Pelodiscus sinensis: one gene and its partners. The protein of the gene in region 1 interacts with the protein of each later gene in a pairwise test. Links are inferred from orthologs where the notes say so. Each region holds a gene or a part of one and is shown on either strand. Other genes may lie near its edges.

Region 1 (7,723 bases):
TTCTCTCCCCTCCCAGGGGGAGCAGGTCTGACTTCCTCTCTCCTGTGCCATGGACCTCCGCCTCCCCTTGAAGGAAATGGGGACAATACCTCTTCCCCCTCCCTATTTCTCAGGAGTGGTCTCGCCCTGGCAGCCATTTTATTGCATTGTCCCTCCTTGCCTGGGGGGCAGGGAAACCCCTCCAGCCTGCCCACGGGGGCAGCTGAAGGGCTCATTTTGGTTGGTTGGCCGCATTCCTGGAGGTTTCGTCACATGACATAATCTTTAATACCCGGAGACTCCAGGACAAGCCTGGAGGGTTGGAAACTCAAGGGGCAGCAGAGACTGGTGGCAGCTGGAGGCAAAGCTCTCCCCATTTTGCTGTAGGGGGGGGCTCTGTGCCTGGCAGGAGGGATTCTCAGGGGGCGAGGGCTCATAGCTCTTTGTTCCAGTATTTCTCTCTTCCCTCCAGCATGGGATTTGGGTCAGGGTCGAAGACTTGTGGAATAGCAAGTACTAGCCCTGCCCCACCCATCACATACCATCCTCGCTCCCCACAGCCCTGCCCTGGCCGAGGGAAAGACCACCCCTTCTGTCCTTCCTGGCTAGGCTCAGGCCTAAGGTTTGCCATGGCCTCTGCCAGTCCTGCCTGGTGTCAGCATTGGGGATCTCTCCCCATCTCTCAGCTGGTCCCAGTGGTGGGATCCCACCTTCCTCTCCCACTGCTCTCTGCGCTCTCTATACTCTCATAAAGGGCTTTGCCTGCTCAGCCCCATCCCCGTGTCCTGCACCCCCCCTCTGTCTTTGGAAATGATGATTATCTAGACATTGATTGGTTTTTTTCTGGGGAGGGCAATGAGGGAGGGGCCTTTTCTTTCTTTCTTTCTTTCTTTCCTTCTCCCTGTTCTCAGACCCCCTGTCCCCCCAGGCTGGGGTTGTTGGGGGGGAAACAACCAACAAAATAATGAAGAAGCCATTTCTCTGCCCACCCGCCAGCGCGTGCAGGGCACCGGGGCGGGGGAGCGACCCCCCCCACCTGAGCACGGAGAACTGGAGGGGACTCTTGTGGCTATTCACCGTTGTGCTATGGTCTGAGCTGCTGGGTGAATGTGGTCAGCGCAGTGATTGTACTGGGTGTTTCTTTGCTGTTTGTGTCTCTATTTCAGACTCGCCATTAACCAGCCCTCCCTTGCCCCCTCCTGCACCTCAGTCCGTATTTCTTTTGTAAGGACTCTCCCTGTCCTCCCCCACCCCCAGACAGCGGCGACTCGGGTGGCGCCATGATATTTATACGTATTAATTATTATTATTATATAAAAGTTTGTACATATGTGAAATTTCCTCTACCCTTCCCTACCTCCCCTGGCCACATCGCCCCCAGGCTGGGCGCTGTAATTACCACTGGATTTGTACTGTATATAGACCTCTCTGGACCTCATTCTCTGTACATATCCCCTTGGGAAGGGAGTTCAGGTCACGAGCGCCCGCCCTGACGCTGTGTCGGACCACCTGGGCGTCTCGCTCTCCGTTTTATTTTATGTCGATTTTATTTTTTCTCATTTTTCTGGAGTGTGTGGTGCCAACGGAGAAACGTTTAATAAACAGCGATTGTTCTTTTATGCCACCTTGGCCTGAAGCCCCAGGGCATGGCCCGTGGGGGCCAGGGAGGCTCCTGCGTGGGGCCACAGGGCACCGTGTGTGGGGGTTCTGCGTGGGGCCCAGGAGGCTCCTGTGTGGGGCGCAGGGTAGTGTGTGTGGGGGTCCCACGTGGGGCCCAGGGCACAGCCCGTGGGGGCGGGAAGGCTCCTGCATGGGGCCACAGGGCACCGTGTGTGGGGGTCCCATGTGGGGCCCTGGAGGCTCCTGCGAGGGGCCACAAGACATCGTGTGTGGAGGTCCCATGTGGGGCCACAGGGCACCATGTGTGGGGGTCCTGTGTGGGGCCCTGGAGGCTTCTGTGGGGCGCAGGGCAGCGTGTGGGAGGGTTCCGCGTGGGGCCCAGGGCACGGCCCGTGGGGGCGGGGAGGCTCCTGCGTGGGGGTCCCGCGTGGGGCCCAGGGCACGGCCCGTGGGGGCGGGGAGGCTCCTGCGTGGGGGTCCCGCGTGGGGCCCAGGGCACGGCCCGTGGGGGCGGGGAGGCTCCTGCGTGGGGGTCCCGCGTGGGGCCCAGGGCACGGCCCGTGGGGGCGGGGAGGCTCCTGCGTGGGGGTCCCGCGTGGGGCCCAGGGCACGGCCCGTCGGGGCGGGGAGGCTCCTGCGTGGGGGTCCCGCGTGGGGCCCAGGGCACGGCCCGTGGGGGCGGGGAGGCTCCTGCGTGGGGGTCCCGCGTGGGGCCCAGGGCACGGCCCGTCGGGGCGGGGAGGCTCCTGCGTGGGGCCACAGGGCACCGTGTGTGGGGGTCCCGTGTGGGGCCCTGGAGGCTTCTGTGGGGCGCAGGGCAGCGTGTGGGAGGGTCCCGCGTGGGGCCCAGGGCACGGCCCGTCGGGGCGGGAAGGCTCCTGCGTGGGGCCACAGGGCACTGTGTGTGGGGGTCCCGTGTGGGGCCCTGGAGGCTTCTGTGGGGCGCAGGGCAGCGTGTGGGAGGGTTCCGCGTGGGGCCCAGGGCACGGCCCGTCGGGGCGGGGAGGCTCCTGCGTGGGGGTCCCGCGTGGGGCCCAGGGCACGGCCCGTCGGGGCGGGGAGGCTCCTGCGTGGGGGTCCCGCGTGGGGCCCAGGGCACGGCCCGTGCGGGCGGGGAGGCTCCTGCGTGGGGGTTCCGCGTGGGGCCCAGGGCACGGCCCGTGGGGGCGGGGAGGCTCCTGCGTGGGGGTCCCGCGTGGGGCCCAGGGCACGGCCCGTCGGGGCGGGGAGGCTCCTGCGTGGGGGTCCCGCGTGGGGCCCAGGGCACGGCCCGTGGGGGCGGGGAGGCTCCTGCGTGGGGGTTCCGCGTGGGGCCCAGGGCACGGCCCGTGGGGGCGGGGAGGCTCCTGCGTGGGGGTTCCGCGTGGGGCCCAGGGCACGGCCCGTGGGGGCGGGGAGGCTCCTGCGTGGGGGTCCCGCGTGGGGCGCCCGGCAAGTGGCGGGGACGCGGGGGGGCGGGGTTGGGTCGCAACGTCGCCCAGCCCTGCCAGTCAAGCACAGGACGCTCCCGTGGCCAATTGGAATGCGAAACGGAAGGGGGCGGGAAGACAGATCTGTCCACCAATCGGACGCGGGCTGCGGGGCGCTGTCCTCGGATTGGCTGACTGGAGATCAGGCGCCCCGGCTCCCAGGGGGTTGTGCTAGCCGGCGTGGGCGTGTCCCGGGGGCTGAGCGCTGGTTGGCCCGCCTGTGGGACAGGCTCGGGGCGGCGCGTGGCCACGGTCCCGCCAGCGATTGGCTACGTGCTGCAGGGCGGGGGCAGCGGTCGCTTTTGGTTGGTTGATGGCCCCCCGGTGGCGTGTCCTTCCCTGGTTGCCCGGGGGACCAGGGGCAGAGGGCGGGGTTTCCTGGGCTCCATTTCGGTCGGCCCGGGCGGAGGGGGCGGGGTTTCCCGGGGCTCGAGCTCGCTGAGCCCGGGCCGCTGGGACTCGCCCTGCTGCGCGCGGCCCGCAGGTGAGCCCTGGATCCGGCCCGCGCGCGGGGGATGGGCGGGGCGCTGTGGGGCAGGACAGGGCGGGTTGCTGGGGATGGGCGGGGCACTGGGGGGCAGGGCAGGGGGCGCTGTGGATGGGCGGGGCGCTGTGGGGCAGGGCAGGGGGCACTGGGGATGGGCGGGGGCGCTGTGGGGCAGGGCAGGGGGTGCTGGGGATGGGCGGGGCACTGGGGGACAGGGCAGGGGGCACTGGGGATGGGCGGGGCACTGGGGGACAGGGTAGGGGGCACTGGGGATGGGCGGGGCACTGGGGGACAGGGTAGGGGGCACTGGGGATGGGCGGGGTGCTGTGGGGCAGGGCGGGGGCGCTGTGGGGTAGGGGGTGCTGTGGATGGGCGGGGTGCTGTGGGGCGGGGTGCTGTGGATGGGCGGGGGCGCTGTGGGGCAGGGCAGGGGGCGCTGGGGATGGGCGGGGTGCTGTGGGGCAGGACAGGGCGGATTGCTGGGGATGGGCGGGGCGCTGCGGGGCAGGGCAGGGGGCACTGCGGGGATGGGCGAGTTGCTGGGGATGGGCGGGGCACTGGGGGACAGGGCAGGGGGCACTGGGGATGGGTGGGGGCGCTGGGGATGGGCGGGGCACTGGGGGGGCAGGGGGCACTGGGGATGGGCGGGGCACTGGGGGACAGGGCAGGGGGTACTGGGGATGGGCGGGGCGCTGTAGGGCAGGGCCGGGAAGGGGGCACTGGGGCTGGGCTGGGTGGGGGCAGAGGTGGGAGCAGTTTCCAAGAGGTGCTGCCATGGGGTAGCTGCTGTATGCTGGGGGGTACAGGTTCCTACTTCCAGGAGCCTGGGCTGTGAAGTCCCTCATTCTCCCTCTGTCCAAATCCCTGGGATCCCTGGCGGGGGTGGGAGGGCTGTAGTCCTGGGAACACAACTTCTACACCAGTCTCCCCTCCAGTGGGGCTGGCCCTGCACCTGCCTCGCTGTTGTGGGAATGGGAGTTCTCTTACCACAAGGGGTAGTGAACATTTCCCTCTCTCCCAGGGGCAGCAGCATCGCAGGGGGGGTTCCCTTTACTCCCTGTCTCTGCCATTGCAGGTGCCCGCCCTGGGCAGGCGGTGCCATGGAGCCCGAGACCCGCAGCATCCAGATCGAGTTCCCCCATTACGCGGCTGTGCTGCTGGAATCTCTCAACAAGCACCGCTTGGAGGGCAAGTTCTGCGACATTTCCATCCACGTGCAGGGCCGGGTCTTCCAGGCTCACAAGAGTGTCCTGGCCGCCTCCTCGCCCTACTTCCATGACAAGCTACTCCTCAATGACACCAACTGCATCGTGCTGCCCAGCGTCATCGAGCCTGACGCCTTCGAGAACTTACTGCAGCTCATCTACTCCGGCCGCCTCAAGCTCCTGATGGAAGCGCTGCCCAGCCACCTGCTGGTGGCTAGTGGACTGCAGATGTGGCAGGTGGTGGACCAGTGCTCGGAGATCCTGAAGGAGCTGGAGGGGGGCCCCTGCCGGCCCTGGTCCAGCAGGGCAAGTGAGAACCAGTCCCCCAGTAGCAGCAATTATTTTGCTGTGAAGGATGATGGAGAGCCGGTGGGTGGAAGCTCAGAGGGGCCTGGCCATGGCGGGGTATCGTCAGGCCGGGCAGCACCCGGCTGCCCTGACAATGAGGTGATGAAGATCCGGGTGTCCCAGGAGGAGGAAGAGGAGGAGGAGGAGGAGGAGGAGGAGCACGAGCACCAGGCCCGGATTTTTAGTGGCTCTGTGGACAAGGCAGTGAAGATTGTCCTGGAGGAAGATGGAGAGGTTGGTGGCAGAGGCGGCTCCAAAGGGCCATCTTCTGGGGAGCTGGACGGCCCCTTTCATGCCCCCCGCGATCACCCCAAGATCTTCTACATCAAACAGGAGCGCTTTGACCCAGATGAGGCTGCAGGGGCTGCGCTGGGAGGAGGCCTGAGTGCAGCCGGGGAGGCCAGCTTTCTCAAGTCATTGGCACAGGAGCGGGCATTGGCCATGGCTGAGGTGCGGGGTCTGTGCCAAGCAGACTTCCAGCCAAGCAGTGAAGTCAGCTACATAATCCCTGCTGCAACCACAGGTGCCGCCTCCTCCATCCCCACCCCTGGCTTCACCATTAAGGCCCAGCCCCTCTCCTCAGATGAGGCCAGCTTCCCCCAGAGCTCCTGGAAGCCAGTGGACCTACATGGCAACGAGATCATTGCCCACGCGGTACATGGCCAGGTGGTGCACGCACCTGTCAAAATTGTGGCAGCCCCTGATGGGAAGAAGTTTGGTTGTCTGTGCGGCAAGCGCTTTGCTGTCAAGCCCAAGCGAGACCGGCACATCATGCTGACCTTCAGCCTGCGCCCCTTCGGCTGCTCTGTCTGCAACAAGAAGTTCAAGCTGAAGCACCATCTGACAGAGCACATGAAGACCCATGATGGGAACCTGTACTCCTGCGAGGACTGTGGGCGCAAGTTCCGTGTGCAGAACTGCTTCCTCAAACACAAGGAATTGTGCAAAGGCCAGGGCTGGGCCACTGCTTGCTGGACCTACAAATAAACCTTGGATGGGGGCTGCAGGGAGGACTCCTACCACCCTTCTTGAGGCTGGTTTGAGCCCCTGAGCAGCTCAGAACCCTGCTCCATGGCCCGGTGGACACCAAAGTATGAAGGGCAGCTGGGCAGGCCAAGGGATTTGGGCTCTTGTGCTGCTCCATGGTGTGGCATTTGTTACAGACCTTGCCCTGGTGTAAGGTGGAGGAACTTGGGGCAGGAGGCAGGAGCATGGGGCTGATGGGAACCTCAAGGAAAGGGATTAAATCTGCCCTGCTGTGGGCACTTTGGGCCAGCGACAATAGGGCAGGTGAGAGAGGAGCGCTGGTGCAGCAGATTGCTTAATCGCAGACCCTGATGGCAGCAGTGGCAGGTTGGGCCTGTGAAAACCACAGTCCCGAGCTGCCCTCCTGGGAGTCTGACTTCTGGGCAATGTCCCAGCCAAGGCTGAGTCCCTCATGCCTGCTCCAGCGGCGGGTGGTGGGGGGCGACCTGCCCTTTTCTGGGAGCACTCCTCTGGAACCTGGTCTCTGACACTTTGAGGCCATGTGCCCAACCTGGGGTATTCCAACCCCCTGCCACAGGAGACTCAATAAAAGAGATCTGTGCCTCCCCCCGCCCCCAGCCTTGGACTCATCCTCTGCAGCCTCCTGCATCCCTCCCTGGCAGGACAGTGACTGGCCTTGTCAAAGTCAGGCTGGCTTTTCAACAGTGCTCTCAAAATGATTGAGAGGCACAAACCAGAGCTCACCGCTGAATCCAGTACTGTGGTGGGGGCATGGGCAGGATAGGGGAAAGCTTCAAGGAGATGATGTGGCCAGCTCAGCTGAATGGGATGGAACTAGGTCTGGAAGGGAGGCTTTTGTCTTTGTGGCTCCCACTACCTCCCTACTCTCCCTCAAACAAGGCCCAGCGTGAGCTCCCCTTTATGCTGGAGCAGCTGAGCCATTCCACTGTGCTGGGCTGCAGGTCCCAGGCCTGGGGCCCAAGATTCTGCAGTGAGCCCCAGCATCTGGCCAGCTTGGGTTGGGACCTGGCTCATCCTTTTGGGCAGTGACTGGTGGGAGGGTGCTTTGAGCTGGAGTGAATGGGTCTCTGTGCTGGCTGGAGCACAAAGCAGGGAGCAGTGTGCCATGTTCTGTAGAGCCAAAGTCCCTGAGTAGTTCACACCAAGACTCATGTGGGGGTGGGCTTGCCAGCCTCTCTGCAGTCTCCTTAGCCTGCTTTCTGGCTTCAGCAGCCTCTGCCTTTCTTGGCCCTGTCATGGGGGTATCTCTTAGTGCCTTTGTTTTATTTGACCTCTTTTTTCCTATCAGTTCCCTGCTGTAGTTCATGCCCCTTCCCACAAGGCATCATGAGCTGGGGGTGGGGGTGTGTGTGTGTGTGTGTGTGTGTGTGTGTGTGTGATGTTGAGTCAAACAGGGCAAGCCAGGCCATTGTTTATAACTATAGGCACCTCCCTATAGGCATCTGCTATTGGAGCAGCCTGGGTGGGTCAGAACATGTTTCTGATTGGCCAGTGCCAGATACTTCAGAGGGAATGAACAGAATAAACAACTTAAGGGCCATCCCCAGCCAGTCAGAGACTAGGGCATACCCCTGCCCAATAGCCATTGGTGGCCCTGAGCTCCAGGA
Region 2 (7,167 bases), on another chromosome or scaffold:
TCTGGGCATTCAGGGGTGCTTTTCAAAATATGCGACCAAGACAGCACAAGGAGAGCTGGGCAACAGCTGCGGATATAAGGCAGGGCGAGCGGTACGGCTGCCCTGGGCCCTGCGCTTCAATAGGCCCCGTGCATGCGTTACTACCTGTTGGCAAAATTGTGCTGCCTTGGGTCCCGTGCTTCAATAGGTCCCATGCTGTGGGCCCCGCAAAACTCTCATCCACCCCTGCTGGGCAAAATCATTCCCATTACAAAATCTTTTTCCATTGCAAACTGAAGATTTGGGCGGATGAACACAAATTGCAGATCTGGGTCTAGAACAGCTCATTGTTTTTGTCAGAATTAAAACAAAATCTGGAGGTCAAAAGAGTTTGTTCAGCATTTAAAAAAAAATGTGTTGACTTTTTGTTTTGGAAAGGTGTTTTGCTTTGGCAATGCCCTCCATTTTATTTTATTTTTTTTAATTTAAAATAGGCCTGAAAATTGAAATAAAAAAAAAATTCATTTTGGGCGATGTGAAACAAAACTTTTTTTAGACATTGCAGCTTGTCAAAAATTCCACATTTTCATTTCAGCTTACCCTGAGACAAAATTCTGTTCCTGATTATTTTTCCTCCCAGATCTGCCACCAAACCAAACCAAATTAGTGTTTCACACAACCCTAATTTCATCAGAGCTACCCCAAACCCAGGGCTGCTCTTAAAAGGCTTCTCAGAGAGACAAGGTGGGTAAGGTAAAATATTTGATTGGACCAATTTCTGCTGGTGAATGGAACATCTCTGAACTGCACATTACTCCAGATAGGCAGTTATAATAGTCAGTGTAATTGCAAGCCAATGTCGCCATCTAATGGCCATGGTTGTTCATTAAAAATAAGATTTTAAAAAAATATATTTTCTTGACTCATTAGATTACACACCCATTAAATAAAATGGAATTTGGAAAGAAAAACAAAGATAATCTTTATTATCTAGCAGAGTTCATCTGGCTGTTGGATAATTCAAGTGAAGAGGTTGAGAAAATCATGCTTAAGTGTTTCTGGCCTGAGTTGTAATAGAGATGTAGCCGTGTTAGTCTGATCATGCTGAAACAAGAGAAAGAACTATGCAGCACTTTAAGACTAACAAGATGGTGTTTTAGGTGCCCACAAAAGCTCATCACCTAATAAACCACCTTGTTAGTCTTTAAAGTGCTGCATAGTCCTGTCTTTTGTTCTGGCCTGAGTTGTTATGCTAGCAAATATTGTAACCATATAGAAGCCTGACGTGGGGCCAGTGTCAGCCTGAAGGCAGCAGGCATTTGCTCCCCAGGAGCAGAAATTTAAGCCCCTCAATAAGTGATCTGATATTTTCTGGTGTTGAACCCAACTTCCAAGAAGGGCTTCCAGGGCTGAGAGGGGGAAGAGAGATTAGAAGTGAACAGGCATGTAGGGCAGCACCATGTGGTCGGAGTGCCTGCTTCAGGTCTTTGAACATTTAGGTCTGTCTTTTTCAATGCCAGCCCTCAAGGGCAGGAAGAGAACATGAGCCAGGTGCAGCTACACTAGTCCAACTGCCCAGGGGCCCATACTGCAGCCAGGTAATATAGGCTGATTTGCATCCTAAAACAGGGAGCCTAATTATAGCTAGAACAAATTAATTGCTTCTCAATCTGGGGAGGACCTCAGGGCCTGAAAAGAGAACAGATGCGGGTCGGAGAGGACAGAAGTGAAAGTCAAAGATTCAAAATAGGGGAAGCAAACAGGGATCCTGAGCAGAGAACCCTGGAGAGCACCCACTGCTGCGCGAAGGAGTCAGGAGAGACCACCTGCATAGCAGTAAGGAACCGCGATGCATGCCCCAGTAGCAAAGACCCTCCGAGCTGCACTTCCTGCTCCTGGTTTGGTAAATGGGCGTTTTAGCCAACCCAAGAAGGGCTCCCTGCAGCCCCACAGATGGGGTGGGCATAGCTGAAGAAATGCGGGGGAAATAGGGTTGCCAGGTGTCTGGTATTTTCACCTCCTGTCTGGTAAAGAAAAAAATTCAGAAAATACCGGACACCTAAAAATATCCGGTATTTTCTGTTTTTTTCCCCTGCCAGGAACTGCAGAATGGCCAGGTGTTGGGGCTATGGTGAACCAGGCCCATAACCCTGGCTCCGCGAAGCCCCAGCTACCCCTGGACCAAACATGAAACACAGTGGTCTGTCAGGGACCCTTCACCCTCTACAGATGGTAAAAGTCCTGCCACTTTGTATCAGGGCCAGACACAAGGGTGTGGAAGTAGATTAAGGTGTTTGTTAGCATTCTACTGACAGGTCCTGCCCACAGGGTTGTGGGAGACAGGGGTGTGTGGATGGCGGGGGAGCGGTGTCAGCCAGTGCTGTGTGAGAGAGGTACTAGGGGACACATACAGGCAGGGTTGCCAACACTCTAGGATTGTCCTGGCATCTCTAGGAATTAGTGATTAACCTTTAAAAACAACTTTTAAATATGAGTCGTCCTGTGGCACCTCAGAGACTCACAAAAATATAAAGAGTATCATGAGCGTTTTTGGGCAAAACCCTCTTCTTCAAGACCATTTCATCTGATGAAATGGGTTGTGTGCACGAAAGCTCATGATAGATATCTATTTTGGTTAGTCGCTCAGGTGCCTCAGGACCACTCGCTGTTGTTAAAATGACAGACTAACTCGCCTGCCCCTCGGAGACTGATTAATCTTAACACGATGCTATTCGAGGAAACCTACAGGAATACATCCTACTGGTTGGGGGGAGCAGATGCTTGCCATGGGCGTTGGTGGGGGATGGAAGATGGTGGCCATGGGGGTGGGGGGGATAGAAGATGCTGGCCATGGGGGGGGGGTTTGCTGGCCATGGGGGGGGGTTGCTGGCCATGGGGGGGATGAAAGATGCTGGCCATGGGGGGGGGGGTTGCTGGCCATGGGGGGGATGGAAGATGCTGGCCATGGGGGGGGGGTTGCTGGCCATGGGGGGGGGATGGAAGATGCTGGCCATGGGGGGGTTGCTGGCCATGGGGGGGATGGAAGATGCTGGCCATGGGGGGGGGTTGCTGGCCATGGGGGGGGATGGAAGATGCTGGCCATGGGGGGGGGGTTGCTGGCCATGGGGGGGGTAGAAGATGCTGGCCATGGGGGGGGGTTGCTGGCCATGGGGGGGGATGGAAGATGCTGGCCATGGGGGGGGGTTGCTGGCCATGGGGGGGATGGAAGATGCTGGCCATGGGGGGGGGTTGCTGGCCATGGGGGGGGATGGAAGATGCTGGCCATGGGGGGGGGGTTGCTGGCCATGGGGGGGATGGAAGATGCTGGCCATGGGGGGGGGTTGCTGGCCATGGGGGGGATGGAAGATGCTGGCCATGGGGGGGATGGAAGATGCTGGCCATGGGGGGGGGGTTGCTGGCCATGGGGGGGATGGAAGATGCTGGCCATGGGGAGGGGGGTTGCTGGCCATGGGGGGGGGGGGTTGCTGGCCATGGGGGGGATGGAAGATGCTGGCCATGGGGGGGGTTGCTGGCCATGGGGGGGATGGAAGATGCTGGCCATGGGGGGGATGGAAGATGCTGGCCATGGGGGGGGGGGTTGCTGGCCATGGGGGGGATGGAAGATGCTGGCCATGGGGGGGGTTGCTGGCCATGGGGGGGATGGAAGATGCTGGCCATGGGGGGGATGGAAGATGCTGGCCATGGGGGGGGGGGTTGCTGGCCATGGGGGGGATGGAAGATGCTGGCCATGGGGGGGGGGTTGCTGGCCATGGGGGGGATGGAAGATGCTGGCCATGGGGGGGGTTGCTGGCCATGGGGGGGATGGAAGATGCTGGCCATGGGGGGGGGATGGAAGATGCTGGCCATGGGGGGGGTTGCTGGCCATGGGGGGGATGGAAGATGCTGGCCATGGGGGGGGGGGATGGAAGATGCTGGCCATGGGGGGGGGGGATGGAAGGGGCTGGCCAGGAGGGGGAGGCGGGGAGGGGGCTGATGGGACTGAGGCGCCCCGGGGTCACGTGGCGGGTGGGAGATGGGCGCTGCGACGCCACGTGCCTGGGGGCTGAACCCCGCGGGGCACGAGCCCTTCACGCGGGCTAACCCCGCCCACCGCGCCACGCTCAAGATGGCGGCCCGGCCACCCGTGGCTGTGACGCCCTGCGTGGTCTCGCGAGAACGGCCCGCGCGTCCATGGCGCCGGGCGGAAACCCGCGGCCGCGCTGCCAGGTTCCGTGCCCGGAAGTGGCGGAAGGTGGCTGGCGCGGAGCGGAAGTTCCCCGGAGAGACGGGCGGAGGCGGCGAGCGAGGATGAACAACAAATTCGACGCGTGAGTCTGAGGCCCCCCCCCCCCCGAGCTGCGGCCCGACTGACCGGCCCGGCGCCGCGGTCCCCCCCCCGGGGGCCCCGAGACGCGATGAGTCACCGGGACGCGCGGGGGGGCCCCGGCTCCCTCTGGCCGGGGAGCGGGTCCGGGAGCGGCGGGCAGGCGGCTCGGGGCGCTGCTGGGCCTTGTCTCGAGTGACCCCCCCCCGGGCAAGGCCCGTTCCCAGCCCCCCCACGAGCCTTTCCCCAGGCCCCACGTGACTCTGTCACCCCCCTCCCCCCCGCTCTGGGACGGGGCCAGCAGCCCGCGCCAGGCGCGTGTCGGGTCGGAGGCTCGCTCCGGTCTTTGCCCCGGTGCCGGTCTCGGGAGCGTTGGGAGGCCGGTTCCGTGCAAGATCCGCCTTGGGGTTCGACTCGCTCACGCCCTGCGGGCCCAGGCGCAGGGCAGCCCCGGGGGCTGGAAAAGTCACCTCCTGGAGAGCTGTAGTGAAGGCTCGGGATGCAAAGGGTTAACCAGTTACCCGGTGAGCATCAGCCTGACTGGTAAGCTTACCTACTGACTGGCTAATTGGGGTCCAGCCAGAGCAGCGCTGCCTGTGGCGCAGCATAGCAGGCCTCCTTCTCCCCCTGACTCACAGCGTCATGGCGCAGGCAGGGGGCTGCTCCAGGATTAACCGGCTAGACGTAGTCTTTAACTGGTTAACCCACAGTTTACATCGCTAGTTATGCTGCCCCGATCCCCAGAGTAGATACCACTAAGTTGACAGAAAAATTCTTTTATTAACCTGAAGGAGTAGATTTATTCCAGTGATTGGAAAAAACACTTTCTATTGCTGCAGTAAGTATCTATAGAGCCTGGCCTGGATACCTAATTTGTATCTGCAGCTGCGAAAATGATCTGTAGATATTTGCATCCACCTCTGTGGATATAAAGTGGGTGTCCACAGATTTGCAGGGCTCTAAGTATCTATGCAGCAAAGCTGCAGGTGTGCCACTGTAGAATTTGTGGTGTATACATACCTTTAGAAACTCAGGTAGTCCTGTGGCACCTTAGAGACTAACAAAAATATATAGACTCATGAGCTCTTGCGATGAAGTGGGTTTTACCCATGAAAGCTCATGAGTCTTTATATTTTTGTTAGTCTCTAAAGTGCCACAGCACTATTCATTGCTTTTAAATTTACAGATTAACACAGCTATCCTTCTGAGACTTGAGGAACTTGGCCTCTTTTCCCTTCTTTAGCTGATTGCTGTCAGTATTAGTTGGTGAATAGGCCCCTTAGTGATGTGTATGTTATAAATATCTTTGCTTAGTTCCCTGTTAAGAGTTGATGCTTAAGTTTGGGGTGCCTGTAGGCCAAGTGGTCTGAGACAGGTGTAGGGCGTGTAGGCTTTCTCGTGTGTAAGAATCTGTCGTCAGTAGACTTCCAACATAGACTCCTTTCTGCCAGTGGTTTGTGTCTTGGAGGAGGGGTCAAGTAATGTAAGTCTGATTTTGTAGGATGGCACCTCAGCCAGGAGCCATAAAGCTCATTCTTTGTCCCTTGCCTTTGTTAGTTTGAAAGATGATGATAGTGGGGACCATGACCAGAACGAAGAGAACAGCACACAGAAAGATGGTGAGAAGGAGAAAAATGATCGTGACAAATCCCAGAGTAGCACCAAGAGGAAGGTGAGTTCTTGACATCTCCTGCCATAATCAAGGGACAATTTTAGGCTTGAAATTCTGGCATCTGCTTGTGGTCAATGTGTCTCAGTGTATGGAGTATATCTAGGAATACTGTCCTGGCTTAGTGCTGTGATAGCATTGTGATGGGGAGCCATGTTAAATAGACTTTGAGTTACCTGAACATGAGCCAAGCTGAAGTATTTTCTCTGCTAGTGCAGCCAGAACTCTTTGCATAGCAAATTGTGGTCCATATGGAGATGGAAAGCAAAGCTGGACTCTTCCCCAGACAGCTTTTTGGAAAGTCTTGGTGTGGGGGAGCTTCCCATCACTTTCCCACATCAGCTGTGGGCTTTTTAAATGGTCTGCGTTTCTTTGCTGCCAGGGACTAAAGAGAATTTAATGCAGAGTTAATGCTCCTCAATCGTCAGGAGGACTTTCTATTGAGAGACGTTCCTCTTGGGAGTAAGCAGCAGCATCGTTAGCGCACCTAGTCCTACCAGATTGGGGAACAAATGTGCTAGGGCTGTCTAATATTCGATATGAAATCTAGTCAGTTGCTGTCAAACTAATGGTCTGTGTCAAGCTATTAACGTGAGATGAGATTTTTCTAGGAAAATGAGGTACACCGTTCATCTTACATTGGGAGCGTCTAATGGTGTGGGCTTCTAATGCTATGAATGTTACTTGTTCAGTCTTCCCTGGAGAGACATGTGAGAGGATAAATGAGCTTCTCTGTTCCCCAGGCTGTTGTCCCAGGGCCGGCTGAGCACCCCCTGCAGTATAATTATACGTTCTGGTACTCCAGACGAACACCTGGGAGACCCACCAGCTCTCAGAGCTACGAACAGAACATCAAACAGATTGGCACTTTTGCCTCGGTGAGTACACTCCAGTTGTTCCATTTTAGTGACCAAACATAGGGCAGGTTCTGGGAGTAGACTTTTCTCTGTGGTTATATACCTTTCACAAAACATAAAGGAAAACAGTTCATCTGCTGTGGCCATAGTGTTGGCTTCTGATTCACCTACAATAGATGACAGCCCTAAAAGAGACCAGGAAGCAGCATTGCCTGCCTTGTTCTAGGGGTGGGGCCTTCACTGATGGTAGCAGTGGAAACAGAACTCCCTCAGCTTGAAAGTAATGGCATGTAAGAAGCATTTCCATTCCTCCTTATGTCTGGCAATAGATACTCACC
Region 3 (7,793 bases), on another chromosome or scaffold:
CATTCTCACGAGTTCTCAGGCAGCTCATCCGTCGGACGGGCAGGGGAGAGCGCGGATGTGCCATGGGGCGTGTACCACGGACGCTCTGCAGCCAACGGGGCGACAGCTTTATGGTGGCCCTCAGTCCACGAATAACATGAAGCGAAAAGCCCGCTCTGCTGGGAGACTTCGTGTCAGAGGGGTTTCCTGGCTCACCAGTTACCTTCTGCTTGCTGTACAGGATCGTGAGCAGAGGGTCGGGGCTCCCCCTCGCCCAGGAAAGCACCAGGCTCTCTTGTGTTTACACCTCTGCCTTTATCCCAGGGGAAGCGGTACTGGCTCCTTTTCACCACGATGGCGTGGTTTTTGGCTGTCAAGGAGGCTCAGCTCTTCACACTGCCAGTTCTGTTCTCTTTAATTACACGTTACTCCTTCGTTGTCATGGATTTGCAGAATTTAAGCCTGTAATTAACATCCAGGCTGAGAAACTCAGGAAAAATAGATCATAAAAATTTCAGAGCTTCGCTGTTGTTTCTTCTGCATCTGCCACCGGGAGTCTTCAAGCTGCTGTCTCCACAGGGCATCAGGTGCCACTGAGGCAGGGGATTCTCCCGGCTGCACGGCAGCCTCTGTCTCCCATCACAGCCCCCTGTCTGGAGGTCAGATCCCACATGCGCATGGAGATGCATTCAGGGCCTGGAAGGACTTTCCCGTCTCTGTGCCCCGTGGGTCTGACACGGAACATGACTCACAACGTTGCTTACGTCACCCGAAGCGAGGCGAGCCGGTCGCTGTGCTCCGAGGAACGAGCGCACCTGCCTCCAGCGTGCCAGCTGTGAGCACAGCCGTGTGGGGAATGCAGGCAGGGTCCTTGGCATGGAGCAGGCAGCGTCCCAGGGTTGCTGGCTTAGTGACCTGGTCCCCATCTGTATTGGCTGGGGCCAAGCCTCTCAATGTGGCCCAGCCACGGATCTGTGCCTAAGAGCTCACACGGCACCTGTTGGCGCCTCCAGGGCCATTGCTCTCCATTTCAGTTCCAGTCCGCTGCCCTGACCTGTGGCATTGGGCAGAGTTTTGGTAGCAGCTCAGCACCCCCGAGAGCCCCCATCTGCCCACAGTTAAAGCCCCGATTTTAGGTTGATTTTGCCCAGACAGGGCCTCCAAAGCAGTGTGTGGCCTAGGAGCACAGGTGAGTCGGCAACCCCGATTTCTCTTGGAACGGCTCCCTGTGGGGGAGTGTTCCCATAGCCCTCTGCCGCCAGCGCCCCCTCACGTGGCCTGTGGAACAAATGAATGATCCCTTCCCCCAGTAACATGCTGTTGACCAATTAGAATGTAGTCTGAGGTCCTATGATATTCCTGCTCCGGCCCAGTGGCTGGATTCGTGGCTGCAAAAACCAACCTGGCCTGGGTTCCGGCCCTTGAACAGTTTGTGCAAAGTTGTTGTAGGAAGAGCTTCATAGATTCCTCAGCGTTTCCACCAATGTTTATTCCACAAGTGGCATTAGGCCAGAAACATTAAGCCTTAGTAGAAGCAACATGTCTTTAGGGAAGTGTTGCATATTGCAGGGTAAAAGCTGCATGCTCAATACACAAAGAACATGTTTTAGCTGCATAAAGAGACGCTACTGCTGGAATTTATGGCCGAGAAAAATGCCAATAACCATGTACAGTATTGCACACGATTGCTCAGGAAAAAGATGCTACCCACAGCAGTTAGCAATGGCTTTGTGTGGCGTGACAGAGGGGTGGTTTTTAGCACTTGGATTGTAAACCTCCTGCGGGAAAGGGACTTTGCAAAGTGTTTTTAAGGAAAATAGCTGCTTCTGAAAAAGAAACTTCCCTTGATTCTCTTCCCTTTCAAAAAATCACTTTAAAAAAAAAGTTTGAATCTCCAAATCCCAGCCTTAAAAACCCGTGGGTGAAATCCTGGCTCTCGTGAAGTCACGGGGAGGTCTGCCCTAGACTTCAGTGAGGCCAGGGTGTCCCCCTCTTAATGCTTTAACAGAGAATGCGGCTCTTGCTTTTGCCAAGTTCAACTTCTGCACCTAAGCTGGAACAGATCCTGTGCCGACCTGGAGCGCTACAGGGAACGAGTCGGGTCGCTAGGGAGGGGCTTCCTCCTGCGCTGCCCAGCTGTACGTAGACAAAATTCTCGGACTGGTTCTGTCCAGCAAAGACTGAGGCAAGCCCTGTCGAGATCCAGGACTCGCGAGTCCTCCGTGGGCCAGCCAGGGGCGAGATGAACGAATGTGAACTACTTCTGTGTGTTATGCAAACACCCCTCTCCCTGCGTAAGTGGCCTCTTTTGCTATGTCAGCCCTGCCCCTGTACAGCCCTTGGAGGTGGCGAAAGCGACGGTTTTTATATTTCTGAATGTTGTACTTTTTAACTCTTGCAAGCTTGGTAAACTCCAATAACTGTCCAACCCACCTGCTGTGCGTGTGCTGTTCTTCTCCGCAGCCTGGGCCTGCCCCCAAGGGCCGGGCGGGGGGAGGGGCAGAGTAGAAATACTAAAACTGTTAGTTCCTAGGCCTGTCTGATCGGGTGCCCCGGGCCAGGGCTCTGCAAGGGGTGGGATGGCAGGTCTAGGGTGCACTCGGCTAGCTCACCGCGCTTTCCAGTGCACCCCATACTAGCCCCACTTCGCAGCCTGGCCAGCTCCACTTAGGGACGTCTACACAGCTGGGTACGTCCCCCCCACACAGACACCTGCACTGCAACGGTGCTAAGCTGCAAGCTGGGGTCCACAGGGGCTGAGCTCCCATGCTCTCCTGTGCACCCCCCACGGGCTGGGCTCAGGTCCAGTGCTCTCCGGGGGACAGAGCGCGCTGCAGGCAGCCAGCACAGCAGCCAGCAGTCCAATTGGTGCCAGGTGGAGCCCCCTGTCCCTGCTGCCCCCCACACACTTGGTCCCACCCTGCTCCCTGTCCCCCCCCTCCCGGGCAGAGAGCATGGGGCACCCAGGCTGCAGGGCCTGCCAAGCCAGCCCCAAAACATCCGTGCAGCCTCTGGGAGTGCAGTGGGGGGCAGGGGTAAGGGATCGAGGGGGAGGTGCTGGAACACTGCACCCAAAGCCCTGGGGTGGCACTTCACAGCGCACCAGGCAGCAGCTGGGCTGTGGTGCATTGAAGGGACGGGATCTTTGGGAGCACAGTGATCCTGCAGCTGGGTTCCTCCCCTCCAGCACCCCGCACTCCAAACCCTTGGCCCTAGCCTGGAGCCCCCTGCACCCCAAATCCCTCATCCCTGGCCCCACACCAGCCAGAGCCCTCGCCCTCCACACGCTGTCCACGCCCTGGGCAGAGTGGAGCAGGCAAGGAAGCAGCAAGTGGGGGGGGGAGGGTCTCCAGGGGACGTGCCAAGCACTGAAGACCTTAATTATTAGGCAGGCCCACAGGTCGCCGTGTTGGCTGTGGCCTGAGCCTGGTCCGCAAAGCGGGAGTCAGACGGCACCGATGGCTGCACGCGGGGGGCTGCTGGGCCACGCGCGAGGCCTTTAGCCATGGGGGGGCTCTGAAGCAGCGTCTGCCTCCTGGGCCCTTCCTCTGCAGGGGCAGTGACTGGTCTGCACCTGCATGCTCCAGCCAGCCTGCAAAGCTGCTGTGCCCGCCCCCCGCACCCACTCGTGTCCCAGCCTGCAGCCCGCCCCCCGCACGGCCTGCCACAGCGAGCCTGCCCCCCTCCCCCCGGCACCCACTCGTGTCCCAGCCTGCAGCCCGTCCCCCCGCACGGCCTGCCACAGCGAACCTGCCCCCCTCCCCCCCGCACCCACTCGTGTCCCAGCCTGCAGCCCGCCCCCCCGCACGGCCTGCCACAGCGAGCCTGCCCCCCTCCCCCCGGCACCCACTCGTGTCCCAGCCTGCAGCCCGCCCCCCCGCACAGCCTGCCACAGCGAGCCTGCCCCCCTCCCCCCCCGCACCCACTCGTGTCCCAGCCTGCAGCCCGCCCCCCCCGCACGGCCTGCCACAGCGAGCCTGCCCCCCTCCCCCCCGCACCCACTCGTGTCCCAGCCTGCAGCCCGCCCCCCCGCACGGCCTGCCACAGCGAGCCTGCCCCCCTCCCCCCCGCACCCACTCGTGTCCCAGCCTGCAGCCCGCCCCCCGCACGGCCTGCCACAGCGAGCCTGCCCCCCTCCCCCCCGCACCCACTCGTGTCCCAGCCTGCAGCCCGCCCCCCAGCACGGCCTGCCACAGCGAGCCTGCCCCCCTCCCCCCCGCACCCACTCGTGTCCCAGCCTGCAGCCCGCCCCCCGCACGGCCTGCCACAGCGAGCCTGCCCCCCTCCCCCCCGCACCCACTCGTGTCCCAGCCTGCAGCGCGCCCCCCCGCACGGCCTGCCACAGCGAGCCTGCCCCCCTCCCCCCCCGCACCCACTCGTGTCCCAGCCTGCAGCCCGCCCCCCCGCACGGCCTGCCACAGCGAGCCTGCCCCCCTCCCCCCCAACCCCGCTCCTGGGAGTGGCTGCGGGCGGGAGTGTCCCAGTCCCCCTGCCCCAAGGCCCGGGGTGTGGCCGGGGGGGGGTTGGCTCCCAGCGCGGGGTGCACGCGGGGGCGGGAGCCCGGTGCGATTCCACCCGAGACCCCCGCCCGGCCCCCCCGTCCTGACAGCAGCACGCGGGGGGGGCGAGGGGGCGGTGATCCCGCAGCGGGGCCACGCGCGCGGAGGAGGGGCGGGGCCACGGCCAGGCCCGAGAGCGGGCTCGGGGGGCGGGGCTCGTGTGGGGGCGGGGCTGGTTTCTGCAGCCCCGCCCATTGGCTAACGTCACCAACCGGCCCATGCTCCGCGGCCCAGCCTCCCGGCCTCTGCGCGCGCAGCCGGGGGCGGGGCGGGGGCTGGTGCGCGCCCGTCAGGCGCTTGGCGGGGCAGCCCGGCCCGGGGTCCTCAGCGGGGCCTGGCGTGCGGCGCCGGGATGCCCCCGAAGGGGAAGAGCGGCGGCAAGGGGGGGAAGGGTGAGTGGGGGCGGGGCGATGGGCGCTGGGGAGTTGGGGTGCCCCGGGGCGGGGGGGATGGGCGCTGGGGGGGTGTTGGGGTGCCCCGGGGCGGGGGATGGGCGCTGGGGGGTTGGGGTGCCCCGGGGCGGGGGGATGGGCGCTGGGGGGTTGGGGTGCCCCGGGGCGGGGGGATGGGCGCTGGGGAGTTGGGGTGCCCCGGGGTGGGGGGATGGGCGCTGGAGGGTTGGGGTGCCCCGGGGTGGGGGGATGGGCGCTGGAGGGTTGGGGTGCCCCGGGGCGGGGCGGGGGGTTGGGCGCTGGGGAGTTGGGGTGCCCCGGGGTGGGGGGATGGGCGCTGGGGAGTTGGGGTGCCCCGGGGTGGGGGGATGGGCGCTGGGGGGGTGTTGGGGTGCCCCGGGGCGGGGGATGGGCGCTGGGGGGTTGGGGTGCCCCGGGGCGGGGGGATGGGCGCTGGGGGGTTGGGGTGCCCCGGGGCGGGGGGATGGGCGCTGGGGAGTTGGGGTGCCCCGGGGTGGGGGGATGGGCGCTGGAGGGTTGGGGTGCCCCGGGGTGGGGGGATGGGCGCTGGAGGGTTGGGCGCTGGGGAGTTGGGGTGCCCCGGGGTGGGGGGATGGGCGCTGGGGAGTTGGGGTGCCCCGGGGTGGGGGGATGGGCGCTGGGGAGTTGGGGTGCCCCGGGGCGGGGGTTGGGTGCTGGGGGGTTGGGGTGCCCCGGGACGGGGGGGATGGGCGCTGGGGGGTTGGGGTGCCCCGGGGCAGGGGGATGGGCGCGGGGGAGTTGGGGTGCCCCGGGGCGGGGGGGATGGGCACGGGGGAGTTGGGGTGCCCCGGGGCGGGGGGATGGGCGCTGGGGGTTGGGGTGCCCCGGGGCGGGGGGATGGGCGCTGGGGGGTTGGGGTGCCCCGGGGCGGGAGGATGGGTATTGGGGTGCCCTGGGGGCTCCCTGGTGGGGTGATCAGTCCATTCCCCCAGGCTGGGGCAGCCCGTATGCTCGCCGGGCTGGCCCTGCTCTGGCGCACTGCGGTGGCGCCGGGAGCCGAGCCCAGCAAGGACGGTCTGGTTTGTTTCCCAAGGAGGAGGCGCCGGCGGTGGGGGCAGCGCTGAGAAGCAGGCCCCGGCCCCAAAGGGGGGGGGCAGCTCTGTGAAGGTGAGTGAGGCACAGAGGGATCGCGGGGCTAGAGACCCATCTCACTGGCATCCAGCTGCCAAGCACGTGGGGTGCACAGGTGGCACAAGGTCAGCTGTGGGCACCCATCCGTGGGCAGCCACTGGGGTCCCAGGTTGGATTTGGCTCTAAGGGTCAGGGGTTCATGCTGGCCCACAAGGCAGCAACCCCCAATTAGCCAGTGTGGTTCTGGTGACTGAAAGGTGCCTGCCAAAGGCACCTGCTGAGTGCAGCCTACCTGTGTGACGGGGCAGTGGGAGAGGTGTGGGTTGCGTAGCACTGGTCCACTACCAAGCTGGTAGGCCACTTGCCGTAGCAGCAGGAGGCAGGCTGGACAGAGGACTGCCTCGCTCTGCCTTGGCTGCTGGTTGGGACAGCAATTGTGCCGAATGTCCTGGCCTAGAAGTGGGAAGCCTTTCAGCAGACTCAGTCCTGTGGTGGTGAGAACCACACTATGAGCTGCAGCAATCAGGGCGCAGCAACACAGACAGGAGCCTGTTTGGTAAACTGCAATAAAATGACTGTTTTGAGGGGAGCTGAGCCCCCAAAATGTAACTTCCTCCTGCTTTTGCATCCTAGGTTAGACACATTCTGTGTGAGAAGCACAGCAGAGTCATGGAGGCCATGGAGAAGCTGAAATCTGGAGTGCGTTTCAGTGAAGTAGCCTCACAGTACAGTGAAGATAAAGCCAGACAAGGGGTATGTATCGCTGGCTGCCAGGCTTGACGGCTCTTAGATGGACTGCCTGATGTCTAGTGCAGGGGTGGCCAAACCACTGCTCGTGAGTCACGTGTGACTCTTTCACAGTTAAAGTGCGGCTTCCCCTCCACCACCATTCTCCATCTTCCAGACTGGGGCAGGGGGAGCTCCGGGCTTCTGCCCTGTGGCAGAGTAGTAGGACTAGAGGTCTCTGCCCTGTTGAAGGCAGGAAGGGACTCCGGGCTTCAGCCTGGCAGGAGGCTGAAGCCCCAAGCACTGGCAGATGCACCCAGATCTTTAACTTCTGAAGATCATCATACATGGCTCAGAGGGTGAGTAAGTTTGATCAGTAGGTCTAGTGTTAGCAGGAGACTAGGATTCTGGGAAACCTTCCAAACAGTGGTATCATAGCACTTGGCAGATAAATGAGGTTGCATTGTGAAGTCTCGAATGGTCATCTGGATCTCGTGCTCCTCCTCCTTCCCTGATTATAAGAATCTTTGCATGGCCCATATTTCTCCTCCTTCCCCACCAATCTGGTTTTGCATGGAAATGTGCTGTCACAGAGGATGGTGTTAGTGTGCACTCAACGTACTATGACTCCTCTGATGATTAATCTGATCCTCTCAGGAAACTGTCCATAGCCACACCACCTTGACAGAAAACTATCACTAAGTCTTTACTACTAGGGGAATTCTGCACCAGAACATTTAAAATTCTGCTTACAATATTTTAATTTTTTGTAAAAGTCTGCGTATTTTGTTGTTAAACACAATATAATCATGCCAGTTTCAAATATTTTAGTACATTTCAAAATACCTGTCAGCAAGTATGTCTATCAACACAGATATCATAGCAGTCAAAAAAGCTAACCATTAGGATAGTAAATATCACAGTACCACTATATAAATCCATGGTATGCCTACACCTTGAATATTACATGCAATTCTGGTTACCCTATCTCAGAAAAGATCTTTAGAAATGGAAGAGGTACAGA

The links. The genes of interacting proteins can lie anywhere in the genome.
Region 2: the proteins of ZBTB9 (region 1) and EIF4E2 interact in binary tests that used the Homo sapiens proteins (3 or more experiments, as listed by UniProt). The two-hybrid records come from large-scale screens. The link is inferred for Pelodiscus sinensis from reciprocal best matches to the Homo sapiens genes ZBTB9 and EIF4E2.
Region 3: the proteins of ZBTB9 (region 1) and PIN4 interact in binary tests that used the Homo sapiens proteins (3 or more experiments, as listed by UniProt). The two-hybrid records come from large-scale screens. The link is inferred for Pelodiscus sinensis from reciprocal best matches to the Homo sapiens genes ZBTB9 and PIN4.

Annotation. Positions count from the first base shown.
Region 1 is NW_027465855.1:143,071-150,793, forward strand, and holds the start of ZBTB9 (zinc finger and BTB domain-containing protein 9), read left to right. Parts: upstream 1-4,655; coding exon 4,656-6,095; 3' UTR 6,096-7,723. UniProt on the Homo sapiens protein: May be involved in transcriptional regulation.
Region 2 is NC_134720.1:49,306,400-49,313,566, forward strand, and holds the start of EIF4E2 (eukaryotic translation initiation factor 4E type 2), read left to right. Parts: upstream 1-4,154; 5' UTR 4,155-4,170; coding exon 4,171-4,307; intron 4,308-5,860; coding exon 5,861-5,975; intron 5,976-6,715; coding exon 6,716-6,850; intron 6,851-7,167. UniProt on the Homo sapiens protein: Recognizes and binds the 7-methylguanosine-containing mRNA cap during an early step in the initiation. Acts as a repressor of translation initiation.
Region 3 is NC_134723.1:1,954,602-1,962,394, forward strand, and holds the start of PIN4 (peptidyl-prolyl cis-trans isomerase NIMA-interacting 4), read left to right. Parts: upstream 1-4,780; 5' UTR 4,781-4,890; coding exon 4,891-4,930; intron 4,931-6,005; coding exon 6,006-6,079; intron 6,080-6,676; coding exon 6,677-6,796; intron 6,797-7,793.